Linked DNA regions of Neurospora crassa OR74A. The protein of the gene in region 2 purifies or fractionates together with the protein of the main gene of each other region. This does not show direct contact. Links are inferred from orthologs where the notes say so. Each region holds a gene or a part of one and is shown on either strand. Other genes may lie near its edges.

Region 1 (5,941 bases), on a different chromosome or scaffold from region 2:
GGACTTGGGGATCGTACCGAGATGCGCTTCGTCCCGCCACTAAAAGTCTAGCATTTACAACGTTTACATACTCAAAATCCGTCGGCAGTAGTATAGTGTATGACCTCATGACGCATCATTAACGCTGCGCTACGCTACATTATAGTACCCATCGCATGAGTTTTCAAATCTCGAATTGAGCAGAACTCACTTTCCATCCATCTATCCATCCATCCATAGCATACAGGCACGAAACAATAAACCTTCATGAAATCCAGCCCCCGCAGCCAAGCAAGCACAGACATATATGTACGCACTGATCAAGTTCGTGGTATACTCCGATAGACGACGACCGTTTTGGAGACATTCATTATAACTAACTCCGGCGGCCCTTTACAAATTTGTAAGATTTTCGCACAAACGCTGCCCAGCAAACTAAGTGACTAGCTAGTTAGCTAGTCTCTGGCTTTCCAACTACACTACTAAGTGTAAGCGCTTGACTGAGAGACAGACAGATAGAAGATGATTTATCAGCCAGACGGAACTCCCAGAATATTCCTGATAATGTAAAGGACGCTACTACTGAATTGAATATAAACTACCATTCGGTTGTCATCAGATCAGATCTTCAACACTATTGTTGTCTAGTGATTACCTCTAGAGAGTAGTGACTGGCTCATCTCATCTCATCATTTCAGGCAGCGGCGCGGCTAACCATCCTTGATCATTCATGAGATTTTTGGGGAAATGAAAACCAAAAGAAACCGACCTTGTCAAGCGGTTAAACTACACACTTTTTCTTGTGTAACCTTCTACCGTCCTTCCCTCAAAGTTTCACATTTCTCATCCTTCTCCAAATACGGGTGAGAATACCGTATGCTCAAGTTGAAGTTCTGGTAGAATAAGCAGGGTTAAAGCTGTGAAGAAGAAGAAGCAGTAAAGAAGCATGTGCATGATTGATCAACGCCCCTCCTTACTTACCTGGTCTTCAATTTCGAGATGATCAAGATCATACACTACACCACAGGCAACCTCAACCACAACCTCAACCTCAACCACACCACACGACACCACATGACCAGCTGACCGTTTTAAAGTTTCAAGGTTCACCCAGTGACAGACAACCCGCAAGGTGATCGTTCACCTTTGTCACACATCACTGGTCGGTCACCTTCACCATACTACACACCTTCACCACACCTTCACCATTTCTTCAACAGGCATTGAAGGCATCGAAGGCAGGGAATTCCCCGTCCTCTCGAGATTACCTTTGTCTGCCTATCCTTCCTCTTCACCAACTAACACACCACGAACAATCAACCTTCCAAGTCCCACTCGCATCAAGTCAGTCCGTCAGTCCGTCAGTCCTGTCATTTCCATTCATCCATTCATCCATCCATCCATTCATCCATCCATCCATTCATCCATCCATCTGTCCACCCCCATCTATCATAAACCGGCATTATCCGGCATTGTGTGTGTGTTTGGGCCGGCATGCTTTTCACCATGAGAAAGAAAAAAAGTTCTGAAACCCTAGTGGAATACAAGCTAGCTACCCGCTGATCCCCCGCATCTTGTCTCGTCTCGGTATTTCGCGGGTTGTTTTGTTTTGTTTTGTTTTGTTTTGTTTTGTGTGTGTGTTTTGAACGATATACCGGTTTGTAGTACCCCCTCTGAGTACCCGAGTAAGACACTTGCCAAACTAACCCCATCCATCCATCCATCTTGAATGCCGCGCGATCAATGGAACTCGGAGAAAAATATATAAAAGTTACAAATGGGGAAGGGGAGGGGGAGGCAAAAAAACAGAATTTGTCCAGTTTGTCCAATTAGATATGAATTCATACCTTAGCTCTACTCATCTTGAGAATCCCGTCATCGATAAGAAAAACACACATCAACCTTGAATTGTTTGTTGAAAGGCCGGGACAAGTTGGCTAGAAGGTCTCGGACTAACAAACAACGAACAAACCTGTATCGAGTTATAGTGTACATGTAGCGCACAGTAGCAACCTACCATGAATCGTGAGGGGTCAATGACTCGTGAGATTTGTAAAGTTGATCTTCATCCCCAAGCAAATGACATTGCTTGGCGGTGGAAGTGAGAGAGTATGGATGACTTTACATGAATCGTGTTTCACGAGAATTTGCCGTCGGTCAGCACCGGTTTTGGAGATTTTGGAAAGGTAATCAATCACAAGAAAAGATGGACAGCGTCGAGTCTCAAATGGGAAAAGGAAGATCAAATTACGATTGAGGTATCACATGAACGAACGCCGAGTAATGCTCTTTTGCTCAAGACAGAAGAAAGTTGATTGGCTTTTAGATGAACCCTTTTGAGAGACCATGTCATCCCCATGACCCAGATGATTTCGCACCCATGCGCATCGAATGAACAGAACCTGTTTCCTCCCAAAAGGTTGTTCAACCCCTAGCAAAGTCCATAACAACTTCCAATTTACTCCGAGCGGAGAGCGGCAATGCGCTCCTGGACACCAGCAGCGCGCTGCTCGCGGGTGAGCTTGGACTTCTTGTACTTGAGGGACTCGGCCTTCCACTCCTCCTTGGTCTTCTTGGGAGCCTCGGACTCGGCCTTCTTGAAGGGGTCCTCGCGGATGGCGGCGTGGGCCTCGGCGTAGAGGTCCTCAAGGCCATCAGCCTCAAGATCGTCCTCAATGTAGCGGTTGAACTGGGACTTGTAGCGCTCCTCATCGTCGTCGGCGAGGGTCTCCATGTACTCAGCGACGTGACCGCCGAAGATGTACTTCTTGAGGGTCTCGGCATCGAGCTCCTCGGACTCCATGTCGTAACCGGGGAAACGGTTCTCGGAGTGGGGGATGAAGATACCGCCGTCGGAGGCACCCTTCATGGCACCGAAGACACGGGCACCGGTGGAGGTGCGAGCAAGACCGACATCAAGGAAGGCCTTGAAGGGGCGGCGCTCGCCATCGTCGGTCTCGGCGGCCTCGGTGAGCTTGTACTCACCGTCAGCCTCCTCAACACCCTTGAAGGTCTCGTCGAGGCCGAGCTTCTTGAGGACACGGCGGGCGAGGAGGAGACCGGTGGCGTAGGCAGCAGCCCAGTTGGTGAGACCGTGCTCAATGCCGTAGGCCTTGAGCTCGTGGGAGTAGGCGGAGGCAAAGACCTTGTCGCCGGTGATCTCGGAGCTCACAATCTGGAGGATGATGTCGCGGTTGGTGAAGCGGACAACCAGGCGGTACTTGGGAGCATTGTACTTGTTCTTGGCCTGGGTGATGAGGCGCTTGCGGGCATAGTAGTCGGTCTTGCCCTCTCTTCTGCGCTTGTACTTGGTCTGGAAGCGACTGTTGGGCGGATTGAATGTTAGCGAACCCCGAGCTCCTATCGATTTTTCTCGGATTTTCAAAAAGAGAACATCTGCTTACCTGTAGTACGCGCTGTTCTTGACAAGCTTGTGGAAGGCCTGACAATCAAAATCCCCGAGTCAGCAATTATCGCTTCAGAATATTTCCTCCTCTCCGAAGCATCTTGCGTTGACTCTCTTTCTCCTCAATTTCCCCCAAGTTTCCCTCTGGGAATGGTGTGTGATTTGAACGCAGCCGCTGGTCGCTCATTGCTGAACGGCCGCGACGCACGCCGTAGGTCGTCAACTTACCATTTTGACTACTTTTGCTGGGTGCACTCAACAAACGGTCTTGAGACGGGCTGGGTTGTCAGAAGGGAAATTTCGAGATCGCGAACAAACTTTGGTGGGCAGGAATTTCGCACTACAATCCCCACAACCCTAAGAACAAGAGCGCGCCTGATTGGTCGGCTGACCGCTGGGTTGTCAACTCAGGTTGGCGACGACCGATTCACTCACCCATGCTTTGCCGTGGCGCCACGGTGGGCGACGACCTAGCGCCAAGAATTTCACGCAAGCGGCAGGCAATTGTGGGCTCTGCCAATGGCATTGTAAGTAGTCTCGGGCTTCAGTAGCCGTCGACCTCTGGCAATCACTGTCCCGAACCGAGGTCTAGTATAGTGTACCATTCACTTCACTAATCGCTTCCTGGTGCCAATGTGCGGAGGTCCAATGTTGTTGATAGATGAATCCAAACATCCTTATACCCCCAAAGTCCCATGACATTATAGTGTGATGCTTCCTGAAGAGTTTCCCCCTGAATACATTCTTGAAGCCATCGACAACATGGCGCCAACCATCCTCAAAGGGAAAAGGTCCTCCGGGTCCCCCAAGCCCAAAGTCATCCTCTTTGACATTGGCGGCGTCTGTGTAAGTCAACATGACCACATCACCACTTCACTTATATACACAAATACATCTACCCCTCACAAAACAACACCAACATAACTAAATAACTAACACAAACCCAGGTCATCTCCCCCTTCCAGTCCATCCTCAACTACGAACTCCGTCACTCCATCCCCCCAGGCTGGATCAACCACTCCATCTCGCGCTCCGCCCCTTCAGGCTTCTGGCACCGTCTCGAAACCGGTTCCATTCCCATGGACGCTGCCTTCTTCGCCGGCTTCAACCGGGACCTGCACAACCAATCCCTCTGGGAATCCTTCTACCGGTCTCACCACCACCACCACCAACAAGCCAAAAAGCACCACCACCATCACCGCTCCTCATCATCATCATCATCATCATCATCATCATCATCATCATCATCATCATCTTCTTCATCTTCTTCATCTTCTTCTTCTTCTGGTTCTTCTTCTGGCTCTGATGAACTACTATCGATCCCGCCCATCCCCCAAATCGACGGCGAGTGGCTATTCCACGACATGATGGAGCACGCTCGAGCTCCAGACCCCTGGATGTTTCCCGCCCTCCAAAAACTCAAGGAAGACGGACGGTTCGTCGTCGCGGCACTGAGTAATACGGTGATCTGGCCGGAGGGGCACAAGTGGGCGGAGAAGGGGGACTTCTTCAGCGATCCGTTGCGACAGCTATTTGATGTTTTCATTTCGTCGGCGCATGTGGGGTTAAGAAAGCCGGATCCGAGGATCTATCAGTTGGCGCTTGAAAAGGTAGATCAGTTTGCGAGGGCAAATGCTGACTCCGAAAGGGGGAAGAGGGGCGGTTGGGCAGAAGGGGTGAGGCCGGAGGATGTTGTGTTTCTGGATGACATTGGGGAGAATCTGAAGGCGGCGAGGAAGGCTGGGTTTAGGACTATCAAGGTTGGGTTGGGAAAGGCGTTTGAGGCGGTTGATGAGCTGGAGAACGTGACGGGGTTGAAGCTGGCTGGGGATCACCCGAGGATTGCGGTGAAGCCGGACTTTAGTGCTGCGAAGGAGGCGAAGGCGAAGTTGTGATAATGCTGATGATTGACATGGGGTGTTAGGTATGAGTTGATGATGAAAAAGAATCTGACTGTTTTCATGATTCATGTGTGAAGTCCTGATAACTACTAATGTACTGTTCGGTGTGCTTACATTTATGATCACTGCGAAGGACGTGTCAGACCGTTGTGAGAATATCTATACGCTCCTGGGTTCAGTCCAGACACGGCCCTGTCGTTTTCACTAGAGGTAGGTACCTCCTGGCACTTTGTATTTTCGGGAATCACGCCTTTTCAAAATGAAATTCTATGGTACATGTGTATATTTACTATTTTTGCTACTTATCCCACGAGTTTAATCGACCTTTGTCGCGCATCTCATCACCACAACCTCTATGATCCATCCACAAATGCCCAAAACGATGTAGAACGACCAGTTCAAAGTGGTCAAGTGATATATAACTTCTACTTGTCTAACGTAGTTCATACACCATCTTGAGATTCATGTTTCATACACATAGCCCCTTTTGATTTATTCTCTTCGATTCCTCATCTTTTAGACTGCCGTCTCTCCTTTTCAAGTTTGTTTTATGTTGTCTAAGTAGGTATCATCCATTCACCTCTCAGCCCACCAACTTCACCCCAGCCAAGACCAAGACCAAGATCCTGTCCTCCTCATTCCATCAAACCATCCA
Region 2 (6,576 bases):
TACACCTTCGATATGTATCTTCACACACAAGCTAGAGAGTCATAAGGGTCTTCTTGACGGTCTAGATCTTTCATGATGATCGCAAGCGATTTCTAGACAGAGTCCAAGGGAACGTCATCACTTGTCATATGTCCATCGTCACAGGCGGGGATAGCGTCGCTGGTACATCGTCCGGCATACGGCAGAATGGTATACTTCAACATTAACCCCGTGAAGATTGGGGGTTGAATGGAGATTGAAAGTGTGGCGTTCTGGATCCTTTGCTATGTACTGTGTGCACTCGTCTGGGCTAGAAGCGCTCCTGCCGGTTGCTTTGTACTTGTGCGTTAGGAAAAACTTTTAATCCGAAAACTGCTGGTCCGACTTCATTCTGATAATGTTAGATTTACCTTGCTCAGTAGCTCATTTAGGATGCTTGAATTGCCATAAATGTCTCGTAAACACCAGGTAGAGAGGTATGATGAAGTCGAGTTGACATGTGAAGAGATGGCCAGGTTTCTTGTGCTACCTAAACCGTTCAGGGTACAAATACAACCACACAATATGCGGGCATGGCAGAGTGAAATGATCTTGATTTGAGCACACGGGTATCGGAACTTGTATATTCTTCTTCGTAACGAGATCGCATGTGGTGATATCCTAGGCGAGAGCATTCAAAACCTCTCCAATAGAGGGATAACTATGAGGAGAGAGGAGCTACTAAGCTTTTTTTAATGCAACAGCCGTTCGCATGTCCTCCCAAACCTAAGAATGCCACGAACATGCATACAGAACTCCAGAAACAAGTACAAATGACAAACGAATATCACAATTTTTCCTTAATCACATAGAAGACGGCAGGTGGGAATGAAAATCGACGGGCAACAAACGCCATACTGAGGTTATGCCCAAGTCCTCAACAGTTTATTATCAGTGACACCGGCCGTCATGATCCGATTGGATCGTTACCAACCCTGAGGTCGGCTATTGAACGCATGCTCGGTTCACCCCAGCCGCCCATCGCGTTCACTGACCGAGTTTACTTCCTGCTCCTCCTTTGCTTCTTCGGGGGAGGTGCTGGCGCAGCCTCGGCTTCTGACTCAGACTCTTCGAGTTCGCTGGCTCCTTCGATGTCGAGGTCGGATCCTTCCTCGTCATCTTCGACGTCAGAGCCCTCCTCCTCGCCATCCTCTTCCTCATCGCTCGACGCGTCCAGGGGTATCATATCTTCAGCAGTGCTCTTCTCCTCACCCTTCTCCTCAGCAGCCTCTTCGACCTCAGAGTCGCTGTCACTGTCGAACCCGGCAAAGTTCTCAGGGTCTTCCTCCTTGGCATCCTCTCCTGCTGAAGCGGGAGTGGTAGCAGGCGCGCTGTCGTCCTCGTCACGTTTCCGCTTCTTGGACATTTCACCGTAGCGTCCTTCGCGACCCTCCATGGTATCAGTCTCACCCTCCTCCTTTTCGGGGGCAGGCGTGAACCAAGGAATCTTGCCTCGCATGAAGTCATTGAGAACCATCTTCGCAACGCCATCAACGTCAGGCTCACCACCCTTGAGAAGTCTGCCGCCCTTCCTAGCAAGCATCTCAAGGAAATGAATATGGTCCTTCCAGCCCTTGAGCTCATATGTCCTCTCCATGTGGTGAGGTTTGACCTTGTTCAATACCGCAGGGATGTATTGCTCCGGGTTATCGACGTTTTCCACACGTACAACACCACGGAGCAGGAGATCCTGTGGCGTATCGTTCTGGTTGGGAGGAACAATGCCAGGGCAGTCGATGAGGTAGATCCTCCTCATCAAGGTGACGTACTGCCAGACCTTGGTCTCTCCGGGAATAGGGGCGACCTTAGCAACGGGCTTCCCACGAAGGGCATTGATGATACTCGACTTGCCGACGTTGGGGTAGCCAACAAGACCGACGCTGATCTGTTTCCTGTCCTTGTGCAGGATACTGAACTGTCTGAGAAGATCGATCAAAGAACCACGACCGAAGGGGTTCTTGATGCTAGATCTCATAGCACATGTAGGATGATCCTTCTGCAGAACGCGAATCCACGCGGCCTATTGTTTTCAGTTAGTCCTCAACTCGTTACTGAATATAACATATATGTATAATGTGAAGAAATGTGTGAATCATAACTAAGAAGACCACCATGGTAGAGTCTGCTCAAAGGCAGGGTGGAATTCAACTCAAACGAAACACGTCCGGTATCCCGTGAAGTCCTCCAAAACGGAGTCCATCAAATCCCCAATCCCAAGACGGGACCAGAGAGGTTGGGAGGTGGATATTAATCTCCCAGCGATGTAACAGACCAATCCCAATGAAGCGCAACTGAATGCGGGAAAGATCCTGACAAAATCCCTGGGAACCTCAGGATTTGCGCGAGGCAAGTCAAGAGATTCAAGCAGAAGGAGTGAAAGCAAATAATGGTCTACACTTACAGCAGTCTTGGAAGGAACAAGATCGATCTTGTTCAGCACGAAAATAAGATGCTTGTGAGGAGCCTCAGTGGCAAGGTATTTCTCAACGTGACGACACCTGGTTCCCAGAGGATCTCTGGCATCGATAACGTGCAGGATGACATCTGACGAATCAATGACCTTGTCTATGTGATGGTTAGCAACCCGAAGTCACAAGTCCCCAAACACAGAAGGACTTACACAGTTCGTTCCAAATACGCTTCGACTGGCCCTTTGTGAAGATAGCCTCCTTGGCCGTCGCGACACTGAAATCCTCCTCTTGAACATCGTCATCGGCAAGACCACCGCCATATCCAGAAGCACCACTTAGAAGCTTGATCTCCTCGAGTCTGGCCTGGTATGTATCCATGCTCTTCTCGCTGTGTTCTGTCAAGTCACCGATCGTGTTGAAGCTGAGTTTTGGCCTCTTCCTTTGGGCCTTGGGGCCAAAGGTCTGTGAAAACGGCTCGCTCTCAATCGTCATCTTGGCTTGGTGCTTCTTCAACGCATCCTTGGGTCCATCTCTGATCAAGCTCATGGGGAGCTTGTTGCTTTTCAACAGCACCGCTACAAGACAAGGTGCGTTAGTCTTGGTCGGCCGGACAAGTGACGGAAGAGTTGAACGTACAGTAAGGATCCTTGTCCTTCTCGGCAATCGCCTCCCGGAAAGATGTCAACGTATCTTGCGAAATGACTCTGGTGTTGTTGAACCATCTCCGGTTCGGCTCGATGACGGCTGTGGGAACATCTCTGCTCTGATACGACGCGGCCTTGACGACCTTGCCCTCCTTGTTGCGAATGGCCTTTCCCTCCTTCAGCACGTTCAAGGCCTTGATCTTCTTTGCGCTCCGGTAGAAGTTCTCGCCCTTGACCTTTGGATCACCCGTCACCTTGCCCTGTCGCTGAATGCGAGACTTTTCCTTCTTTCCTGTTCCCATTTTGGCAGATATCACTCAATGCCAGATTACCGAGTAGGTTGGTGGGTAGAGGATGCAGATGTGGAAGAATTTCGTTCTCGCCTGCGAGAGCGGCTGGGGGTATCCGTAGATCGGGGGGTTTGAGATTGACTTGAAAGAAGAAGCACACGAAAATAGGGAAGAATGGGTAAAAGGCTAGAAACGAGGCTATGGGGTATCAGATATCGGCAGAGGGTGTTGCGTGAGAATCGAGAGGATGAATGGACTGGGGAAGAAGAAAAGAAGAGAGGGAAGCGAGGAAGGAATGAGAAGGAGGAAATGCAACTCTGCGACTGGTCCCGGCGAAAGTTTTGTCAGTTTTTTTTTTGGGCGGGGTGTGGAGGCCGCGCAAAGGTCCCCATGCACAAAAAGTTTAGCGGTGTACGACGGCAGAACGCCCGCGACCAGCAAAGCTAGTAGCACCAAGAGCACTCTAGCGCCGTTCTGGCCTCCCCGAGCTTTCAGAATTTCGACGGAGTTGAAAGCCCCCTCGTACCGCGGCGTGTCCCACGATCCCGAGCCGAACCTACCTACCTAGGAGAGCGAGAGGCCGCTGCACCCGCCTGGTCCGTTCCCTCCGTCGCACGAAACCTCCGCATAGCACGGCCCGGCCAGAAGTCTCCCAACTCCGACCCCATCCCGCTCACCCCGTCTTCAGCCAACCCTCCACCTCAAAAATGGCGCCAACTCTTGCCAGGCCGTCGCTCAGCGGCGTGCAATTTATCCTTTCTTCCCCGACCACAACATGCGCTGCCACCAGCGTAGTAACACGCGCCATCGCCGCCCGATCTTTCAGCACCACCCGATCGGCTAGAGACTCGGTCTCCATCCCCCCCGATTCGCCCAACTACATCAAGGTCCCCGAGCCGCCGCAGTCTTCCGAGGTTAGGCACCCTTTCGTCAAGGGCCACCTCCCGATCCCCCGCTCCATTTTCCCAAAGAAGGGCGTCCCGGAGAAGGTCCAATCCGGCTATGTCAATCGTATCGCTCCCAAGTCCGCCGCCGAGCTGGCTGGTCTGCCGCCCAAGTCGAAACAAGAGTCGTGGCGTCGCAAGATGGCCGAGGCCCGGCGCCAGTCACTCGAGGCCGGTCTGCAGGGACTCTGGCAGCGCAAGGTGAAGCGCGACCAGAAGCAGGCGAAGGAGAGCAAGGCGCGCTACTTGGCGAACAAGCGGGCGGCCCAGGCGCCGGAGCGTCTGGACGAGGTGTTCACGCGCGCGACGATTCGCGAGAGCACGGCCAAGAACACATTCGTACCCCTGGACCCAGAGGCTTTCGTCAAGGCCGAGGAGGCGCGTATTAAACATGCAGAGAAGGAGGCGATGAAGAGCGAGGCGCGCCGGGACGCCGTCGTCCAGCTGTACGTGGCGTCCAAGAACTTCATCGTGGACGAGAAGGAGCTGGAGGAGCACGTCAACAAACACTTCACCGAGAAGATCCACAACGCCGGTCTCTGGGAAAGCGGCCGCAGCATTTGGGATTCGCAGAAGAACCCCATTAGCATGAGGGAGTTGCGAAACGAGTTCAGCGGTTTCAACGACAGAGTTACTGCCACCACTTCAGCCGCCGTAAAGACGACAGTTAGGCAGAAGAACGTGGCCGAGGAGTTGACTGGCGGCAAGTTGTAGTTGGGATGCAAAAACTCTACTATATCTCCTACGTCCTTCTCTGCCCTATCAAAGTTGTACAATTAGTCAAAGGTTTGCTGCGTTGTCGTAATGATTTATACGATTAGTGAATCGAGCAACCTTGTACATTATGGGGGTGTTGTGTACAAATAAAATCAGATCGGCCAAGGACACCCAGCCACCACAACACTCATATTGAACTTACAACGCTGTATTTCATTCCGATACCCTATCTCTCTGAGACGGTCGTTCTCAGAACACGCTTTACTTGTTGCCTAAATAGTACAATGATGCCCATGACCCTATACGCCGGTGTCAACCAATATTTCCAAGAAACCATTTCATCATGTCCATCCTCAAGAAAGCTTCGCGCACAAAGAAAGAAGAAAAAAAAGGGACAGTGAGACATCGATCTAACAGAGTCAACCCGTCATTCACGCTGGTCTAATAACAGTTGCTACATCTTCCAGCTCATATTAACCGGCAACTGTGGTCTAATGTGGTCTTTTAGCGTTTGGTTACCTCTTCTCAACAAGAAGGATATGCATGGCACCATAAGCAAGGATGATGAAGGTCATGCCAAAGAGGCCTAGGTTCATGATATCCCTCCACATTGCTGAGTTGTCGAAACCGAAAGTGGTCAAGATGGTGGCGCCGGGAACCGTGATATCGAGACCGTACTTGTGGTCAACAAGAGTGAGCTGAGTAACCTCGTTGACAATCAGTGCCTCGAAGCCGTAATGGAAGATGGAGAGCCACTGAAGCCAGAGTGCCGCAGCCGGAATGGCGTTGTGGTTGAGCAATAGACCCGCGAAGAGAAGACTGAAGAGCATAACCAAGCTGCCAATCAGGTTGGCTACACCTCCATCCTTACAAAGGATGCCGATGAACAGGCAGATAGCGGCGGCGGCCAGGTTGAAGAGGACCAAGACCAGGATAAAGACGAAAAACCGCTGGTAGTCAGCGACGAGACCAGTCATCGGGTAGATGATTGCGCCAAGCAGGATGGGTGGAATGATCCTCAGGGGAACAATGTCGAACAGGACTTTGGCGGCGAAATAGGTGATAGGTGAATAATAGCCATTCGCTCTCTCGCGTACAAACAGCAGTCTCTCTTGAGAGAACACACCCAAGCTTGTGAGAGTGCTGAAACCGAACAAGGCGAGGACGAAGAAGAAGAGGCCAAGCCTGTTCTGGAAGCCTGCAATGTCCAAGGTCAAGCCGTAAAACAAGTAGCCGGCAAAGACAGCCAAGAGAATTGCAATCGCGTAATGAGTCAACATCAACATCGGGTTTCGGTACAGGTTCTTCCAAGTCCGCTGAGACAGAATAACGAACTGTCGGAACAAGCCCACACGAGCATAGCCTTTGCCCATTGTACCCGTGTAGATGTTACCATCTGCAACATAACCGTTGGAATTTTGACCATTGCTGTTTACCGCAGCTGCGATTGCCTGGTGAATTTCTTCATGAGTACTGGCAGCAATGTCGGAATGGATATATGACTCAATCAGGACGTCAAGATCGGTGCCAGTAGCAGCAAGAGGAGGGAGAT
Region 3 (6,203 bases), on a different chromosome or scaffold from region 2:
ATGCCCGGTCTCGGTCGTTTTGGTCAAGTGAAGTGTCGAATTTGTCTGGGCGCAGAAAGGCGGCGGGCGGCCACTGTTTCCCTCCACTGATCGCTTGGCGCGGTCCCCTTTCTCTCGCATGAGTCCGCTTCGGGGAAGAAGACTGAATAATAGTCGCAAGAAACACTTTGTTGTTCGAACTTGAGGTTATGCATAAACAATGGATAAAAACATGTAAACTTGTACATACGTACATACGGAATGTCGGTCAATCAATTAATCTGTATCCAAACAAAATATTAAATGTTCAAGTATTTTCTGCTCTCTGTGGTATCAACTCTTATAAAACGATCTCTCGACCCGATTTTTGTTTGGTAAACGAAGACTCGACGGACTGCAAAGACCCCAGCAACCAAGTCGGCAACGAGACCCCGACTGGATCCCAAACACCGACCCGATTGTCCTCCAAGCTCCCTTGTCATCCACCCCCCGGCCACCACGCCCCGTCCGTCGCACCACTGAGACCACTCAACGCTGCATGATCAGTCTCCGGCAACTCTCCGCCGCCGTCCATCTTCCACTTCGACGACCAGCAGACACCTATCTAACTCTAGACCAACTCCGACCGCCTACACTACTAAGCTTTCTGCCACTTAACCACCACCACCTCCTCCAAAGTCCGAAAGCTTCCTCCCCTTGATCGTGTTTCCGAATACCTTCAGCTACCTACCTACCTACCTACCTACCTACCCCGCCAAATACCGTTAATCCGCAAACACATCCATCACAATGGCGCAAGCAGGCGGGTCATACAACAACCCCTTGAAGAAATTCAAGTAAGACAACATACCCGACACTTTTGCAGACAATGCACTTAAGTCAAATGGAAGACAAAACAAGACAAGATGCTAACCACTCTTTCTCCTCGCCAGGTTGGTCTTCTTGGGCGAACAAAGCGGTATGCGATTACCTCAACCTACAACACTTTCTCCACGATGTTCTCCGAGACACCAATGCTAACTCAACGATTGCGCGCAAACAGTCGGCAAGACGTCGCTCATCACACGCTTCATGTACGACTCGTTCGATAACATGTACCAAGCCACCATTGGTATCGATTTCCTTTCCAAGGCATGTTCGACCCCCGTCTCCCATTCAATTCTTTACCGCCCTTCCTTCCCAGACAGACAATGCGCGACAGTTGCAAAGACCCAAGAACTAGTAGAACAAGATGAGAGCCTTTGGCTAACTTTACGGGGGGGAAAAAGACCATGTACCTCGAAGACCGAACAGTCCGCCTACAGCTCTGGGACACAGCCGGCCAGGAGCGTTTCCGCTCTTTGATCCCTTCGTACATCCGCGACTCGTCAGTAGCCGTGGTAGTTTATGACATTTCGAGTATGTTATGTTATGATATTTCTTTTCTTTTCTCTTCCGCCTTTCTTGACCATCCTCTCTCTCCCCAAATCCCCCCCCTCACCGCCTTCCACCCCCGCTATTTCCCCCCCCCCCCCCCCTCCTCCCCTCAAGCCACCAATTTCAAAACCTCCCCCAAAGAAACAGGACACTAACATTCATAACCAACACCAGACGCCAAATCCTTCCAAAACACACGAAAATGGATCGACGACGTGCGCGCCGAGCGCGGCAACGACGTGATCATTGTCTTGGTGGGCAACAAGACGGATCTGAACGACAAGCGCGAAGTGACCACGGCGCAGGGCGAGGAGGAGGCCCGGCGCAACAACCTCATGTTTGTCGAGACGTCGGCAAAGCTGGGCCACAACGTCAAGACGCTGTTCAAGAGGATAGCCCAGGCCTTGCCCGGGATGGAGGGCACCGGTGGGGAAGGTGCCGGTGGTGCGGGCACGGGGGCGGCGGCGACAAGGATCGATGTCAGCAGTAAGGAGACGGTGGCGCAGGAAGGGTGCGCTTGTTAAGACTGACTGGACTGGTCTGACTGGTCTGGCGGCCTGGTGCGGTTTGGTCTGCTCTCGTCTGGTCTGCTCTGGTCTGATCAGGGCAGGACAAGCTGAATTCCTCTTCCCTAGGGAAAGGGCGTGCTGGTTGGGAAACCGTGACGGCTGGGGATGAAGACAGCAATGGGGATGATGATCATGTTGACGATGTTAACGAGGTTAACGATATAATGGGGTAAATATATGATGAGAGAATGAGATGGAACTTGATGATGATGATGATGGGGGGTGGGGGGAGGGAAATAGAGGTGGGTGGGCTAGACAACCTGACAAATGGGGAAGCAAACTATAATGAGAAACTTGGCTGTGCTTTGTGCTTACGGTTTGGCTGGCTGGCTAAAGCAAGGCGATCGGAGCATTAGCATGCGAAGGAAGGGGTTGGTTTGGTTTTGTCGGGTCTTAACGCTTATAATAATACAAATGATAAAAGATATAATACTTTGTATTTAGTTACCGACTTGAACCAACTGTGTCTTTTAGGTGTTGTTTAGAGTTGTTGTGTTGTCGACTGAGTGCAAGATGGAATCAACGAACGGGTAGTAGTCCAAGATTGACCTTGGATATATCCTTGGCTAGGATACCTAGTCAGGTCTCGAGCTACAGAGGTCAGTCACGTTGGCAGAAGACAGAAACGAGTAACTTGTCGAGTCAGAAAGTACTGAGGATTACTACTATAAAACAAGACAAGACATGGCAGAAAGAAAAAAACAAACAAGTACTTCATATTGTGGGTCTCCCCGTGTCTATTAAACGCCAAATTCGCCGATTCCAATAAAACCGAAAATATGCTTTGCTACTAAAGGTAGACTGATTGATCCCCCCCTTGAAAACCATGGTTCTGAATATAATGAATCTTTCCAATGACCTGTAGCGACCAACGACCAACCAACCAAGCAAGGGGTATAAGCAAGCCCCGAAAGCAGCCATCGCTCGGGGGGGAGGATTGTCTGTCTGTCCAAAGCCACAGTTACTGTTTTTACAGTTAGAGTATTGGCTGTTGGTCAACCAATTGCTGTCTGTCCTGTCCTCTTTCTGGTCGTTCCGTCTTTATACACCAAGACCCGTTCGTCGTAGTTGGGCTTTGTTGCTGGTGTCAACTAGGCAGGTCTCAGTGGCGAGGAAAGGCCGCCGAAAAAATACAGCAGAACCCTCCCCCGCATAGGGATATCGACAGCCGCGGGAGCGAGTTCGTCCGAAGAAAACAAGCAAACAACGAATGATCCCGAGAAAAGAGGTGGCTGGTTTCGGTGTTGGTGATGGTGGTGGTGGTGGTTGGCGGTGGTGGTGGTCGCGGTAGTAATAGTTACAGAGACTCGGGCGCTCAGTCGGTATCCATCTCGTCGTCATCGTCCACGTCCTCGAAATCGTTCTCGTCATCGTCATCCTCATCGACCAAGCCTCCACCAGCGACGCGCTCCGAGATCTCTTCCACGCCGCCGTCTGTCCTGACACGGAGCCTCTTGACCTCGCCGCCAAACGCCTTGGTCTTCTTGCTGGCAGCCTTCTTGGCCAGCTCCTCGCGCTCGAGCTCCTCGACGTCCTGGCCCGTCTCCTGGGCGAGCTCGGCCAGCCTCCTCTTCTCGGAACCGCGCAGGCGGGGGAGGAGGTGCTCGTTCTCGGCGACGAGCTTGCGGGCGGCGGCGACCTCGCGGGCGCGCTTGCCGGCCATGCGGCGCTTGTAGAAGATGCGCTCGCGGCGCTGGCGGATCTCCGAGATACGCTCCATGGCCTTGACCGTCTTGGCGAAGAGCTCGCGGTCGTAGCGGACGGGCACGTTGCGGCGGGCGGCGAACTGCAGGGTGCTGTCGACCACCATCTCCTTGCCGGCGTTCTTGCGGTAGGCCTTGGTCCACTTGAGCTTGCGGGGGTTGCGCTTCATCTTGAAGTTCTTGTGGCATTTGGAGCGGCAGAAGCGGAAGGACTTGCCTGTAACATTAGTTGTACCCTGGTTAGCAATTGGCCTTGACGGAGAGGTTGATGATGGGGAACTGAAGTATGACAAAAACATACCATCGTTACGCATAAAGGTAATGCCCTTGGAGGGCCAGGCCGGACGGCCGCAAAAGAAACAGGGATCGACACGCATCTTGACGGGTTATGTGGGTGGTTGTGGTGGTGGTGGTGGTGGTGGTGGTTGAGGAGAGAAGCAGCGAGCCGGGTGAGGATGGGCTCGTTGTCTGTTCGGGAGGGGGGGGAGGAGAGGGGGAAGCAAGCAACAAAGTCAACAACAGCGAAACGGTCAAGGGCGCCGCTTCTGAAAATTTCTGGATGTCGGTGTTGGAAAAGTAAAGTGGGGCGGAGGGGACGCTTGGCTTATCTTAGCGCTATCGTGCTATCAGCCGACAAGACTCGGGTTAGGGTTGAGCGTGCATATACGCCAGCCCAGACGGTTCTTTTCTCTTGATTTGACAATGATGGTTCCCGATGATCGATTCCTCGATGTAAGTTGGCCGGCAATTGCGGCTGCTTACTTTCGATGCTCTCTCGACAAGCGATGGCCATGATGCTCAAGTCGACGGGCATGTTTACTTTTCCCAAATCAGTATATTCCCCGATCCATCCAACAATACTTCTTGAGCTCACGATCTTTTCGCTTCGCGACAATGTTCAGTCACCAAGATGGCATTGGTTTCTGTTAACAGGACTCTCGCGGACCCTAACATTGCTAGCTCCACTCTCTTTCTTTCCCATCAGTTACTGCTAACGATTAAAGTCTGACACCCTCTACAATGTTCAACACCGGGTATCATCGGTGTTCGTGACTGCAATTTTTACCATGTCTGAAGAATCTATTCGAGTTACAACTGAAGGCGTCAAGTTCTTCTCGGAGACTGTGGCGAAATCGGATCTTGAATTGTCTGTCATTTCTCACAATGATCAAGACCTTCTGTGATGGAAACTCCGTCGGCAGTAGGCCAGTGTCTGTTGAAGGTGACTACTTAGGCTTTACACAAAAAGAGGTCTTCCTTGACACTTGGTTGATATAACGCATCTCCGTCTCTCAGATTGAACTTGAAGTGCAATGGACTTTCCTCACTCCTTCCCCAATCACAGTGCTCCTTTCATCTCACTCACAGCGGAGTTGAGGGTCGGGTGCTGACCGAGAGCCCCATCAGATCCACAGCGCTAACTCAAAGATGCGGGGACGGAATCCGGGGAAAGCGTCAAAAGTGGAGTCGGGTTCCCCTGAGGCTCCACCAGACTAGCTCCTGCCCTGCGACAGTAAGGGTCCCGAGATCGTTCTTTCCTGATACAAACCGTACACTAAGTATAGGAAAGTCAAGATGTCGCTATCTCTTTCCAGTTTCTTGTCGGTAATTATCCCATGCGGTTCACCGTAATCTTCCTTCTCAAACTTGGTATCTACTGAAATGTACAAAGGATCAAAATTACAAACCCAACACCTACTGCTTCCTCCCCCAGCCACAGCACACGCGCACCGGACCACTCCTCGCTCCGTGGTGCCATTAGACATCACAGAATCAGACGACGGAACTCACAGACGGGCCGCTGTGATACAAAAGTGACGTCCAGCCACTCGAGATGATTGGATTTTGGATATTGCCTGCCACTCCTACCCCGCTCAATCCTGGGTTACACCATGCCTCAGCCAGACGGTTCCAGGTCTCGAGAAGCCGTTGGACATAGTAACTACTCACAACAGAGGAAGAAAAGCAGGAGGTGCAGGCGAGAAAGGCGGAGGTGAGCGGTGGCTCCCTGTCTAGACCGTCCACTTGCTGCAAGGCAAACCGGGGAGGGGAAGTGGCACAACAGGAGGTCAAGGCTTGGGCATCTCCCCTCAAAAAGATGATATCGAGTTAAGGACACTGCATGGGGAAGGAGGGTGAACTACCACCAAGACCCTGACAGTCTAACAAGCAGTAACAATACCTGCTGCTTTATGTTGTGGTTCCCATTTCTGCCACATAAAGGGGACTCCCGTCTCTCCCACTCGTTATATATCTGCTTCTTCTCCTCGTGGCACCTGGAGAGAACACTCATCCTCGTTTCAAAGACTTGTCCAGACACACGAGTAAAGAGCAACCTATAACACTCGAAGAGTACAGCATCAACTGCTGATCAAGCAAAGAACACTCAACCACAAGTAGAGGTACGTCTGTGATCCATTCCGTGGTCACTCCTTTGAACAGCATCGCTGGATGACAAAACTTTATACCCGGTTGTCAGAACTGTCATCTCTTCCTTTCCTTCATCAACTGCATCTCCTCTGCTCACCACCACACA

The links.
Region 1: the proteins of NCU02546 (region 2) and crp-4 purify together in Saccharomyces cerevisiae (affinity purification with mass spectrometry; 5 studies listed by BioGRID, with this or other methods). This does not show direct contact. The link is inferred for Neurospora crassa OR74A from reciprocal best matches to the Saccharomyces cerevisiae genes NOG2 and RPL5.
Region 3: the proteins of NCU02546 (region 2) and NCU05235 purify together in Saccharomyces cerevisiae (affinity purification with mass spectrometry; 8 studies listed by BioGRID, with this or other methods). This does not show direct contact. The link is inferred for Neurospora crassa OR74A from reciprocal best matches to the Saccharomyces cerevisiae genes NOG2 and RLP24.

What each region holds. Positions count from the first base shown.
Region 1 is NC_026505.1:5,644,804-5,650,744, forward strand, and holds crp-4 (60S ribosomal protein L5), read right to left. Parts: upstream 3,792-5,941; 5' UTR 3,617-3,791; coding exon 3,614-3,616; intron 3,422-3,613; coding exon 3,384-3,421; intron 3,303-3,383; coding exon 2,438-3,302; 3' UTR 2,207-2,437; downstream 1-2,206. Other genes in the region: NCU04332 (epoxide hydrolase), read left to right, coding at 4,097-4,231, 4,333-5,280. UniProt on the Saccharomyces cerevisiae protein: Component of the ribosome, a large ribonucleoprotein complex responsible for the synthesis of proteins in the cell.
Region 2 is NC_026501.1:2,683,617-2,690,192, reverse strand, and holds NCU02546 (nucleolar GTP-binding protein 2), read right to left. Parts: upstream 3,708-6,576; 5' UTR 3,376-3,707; coding exon 3,066-3,375; intron 3,005-3,065; coding exon 2,639-3,004; intron 2,584-2,638; coding exon 2,420-2,583; intron 2,039-2,419; coding exon 1,019-2,038; 3' UTR 560-1,018; downstream 1-559. Other genes in the region: NCU02545 (hypothetical protein), read left to right, coding at 4,071-5,021; NCU02544 (ABC transporter), read right to left, coding at 5,540-6,576. UniProt on the Saccharomyces cerevisiae protein: GTPase that associates with pre-60S ribosomal subunits in the nucleolus and is required for their nuclear export and maturation.
Region 3 is NC_026504.1:5,663,446-5,669,648, reverse strand, and holds NCU05235 (ribosome biogenesis protein RLP24), read right to left. Parts: upstream 4,195-6,203; 5' UTR 4,045-4,194; coding exon 3,969-4,044; intron 3,885-3,968; coding exon 3,280-3,884; 3' UTR 2,576-3,279; downstream 1-2,575. Other genes in the region: NCU05234 (GTP-binding protein ryh1), read left to right, coding at 769-815, 912-937, 1,022-1,110, 1,248-1,377, 1,570-1,919. UniProt on the Saccharomyces cerevisiae protein: Involved in the biogenesis of the 60S ribosomal subunit. Ensures the docking of NOG1 to pre-60S ribosomal particles. Activates and recruits ATPase AFG2 to cytoplasmic pre-60S ribosomal particles.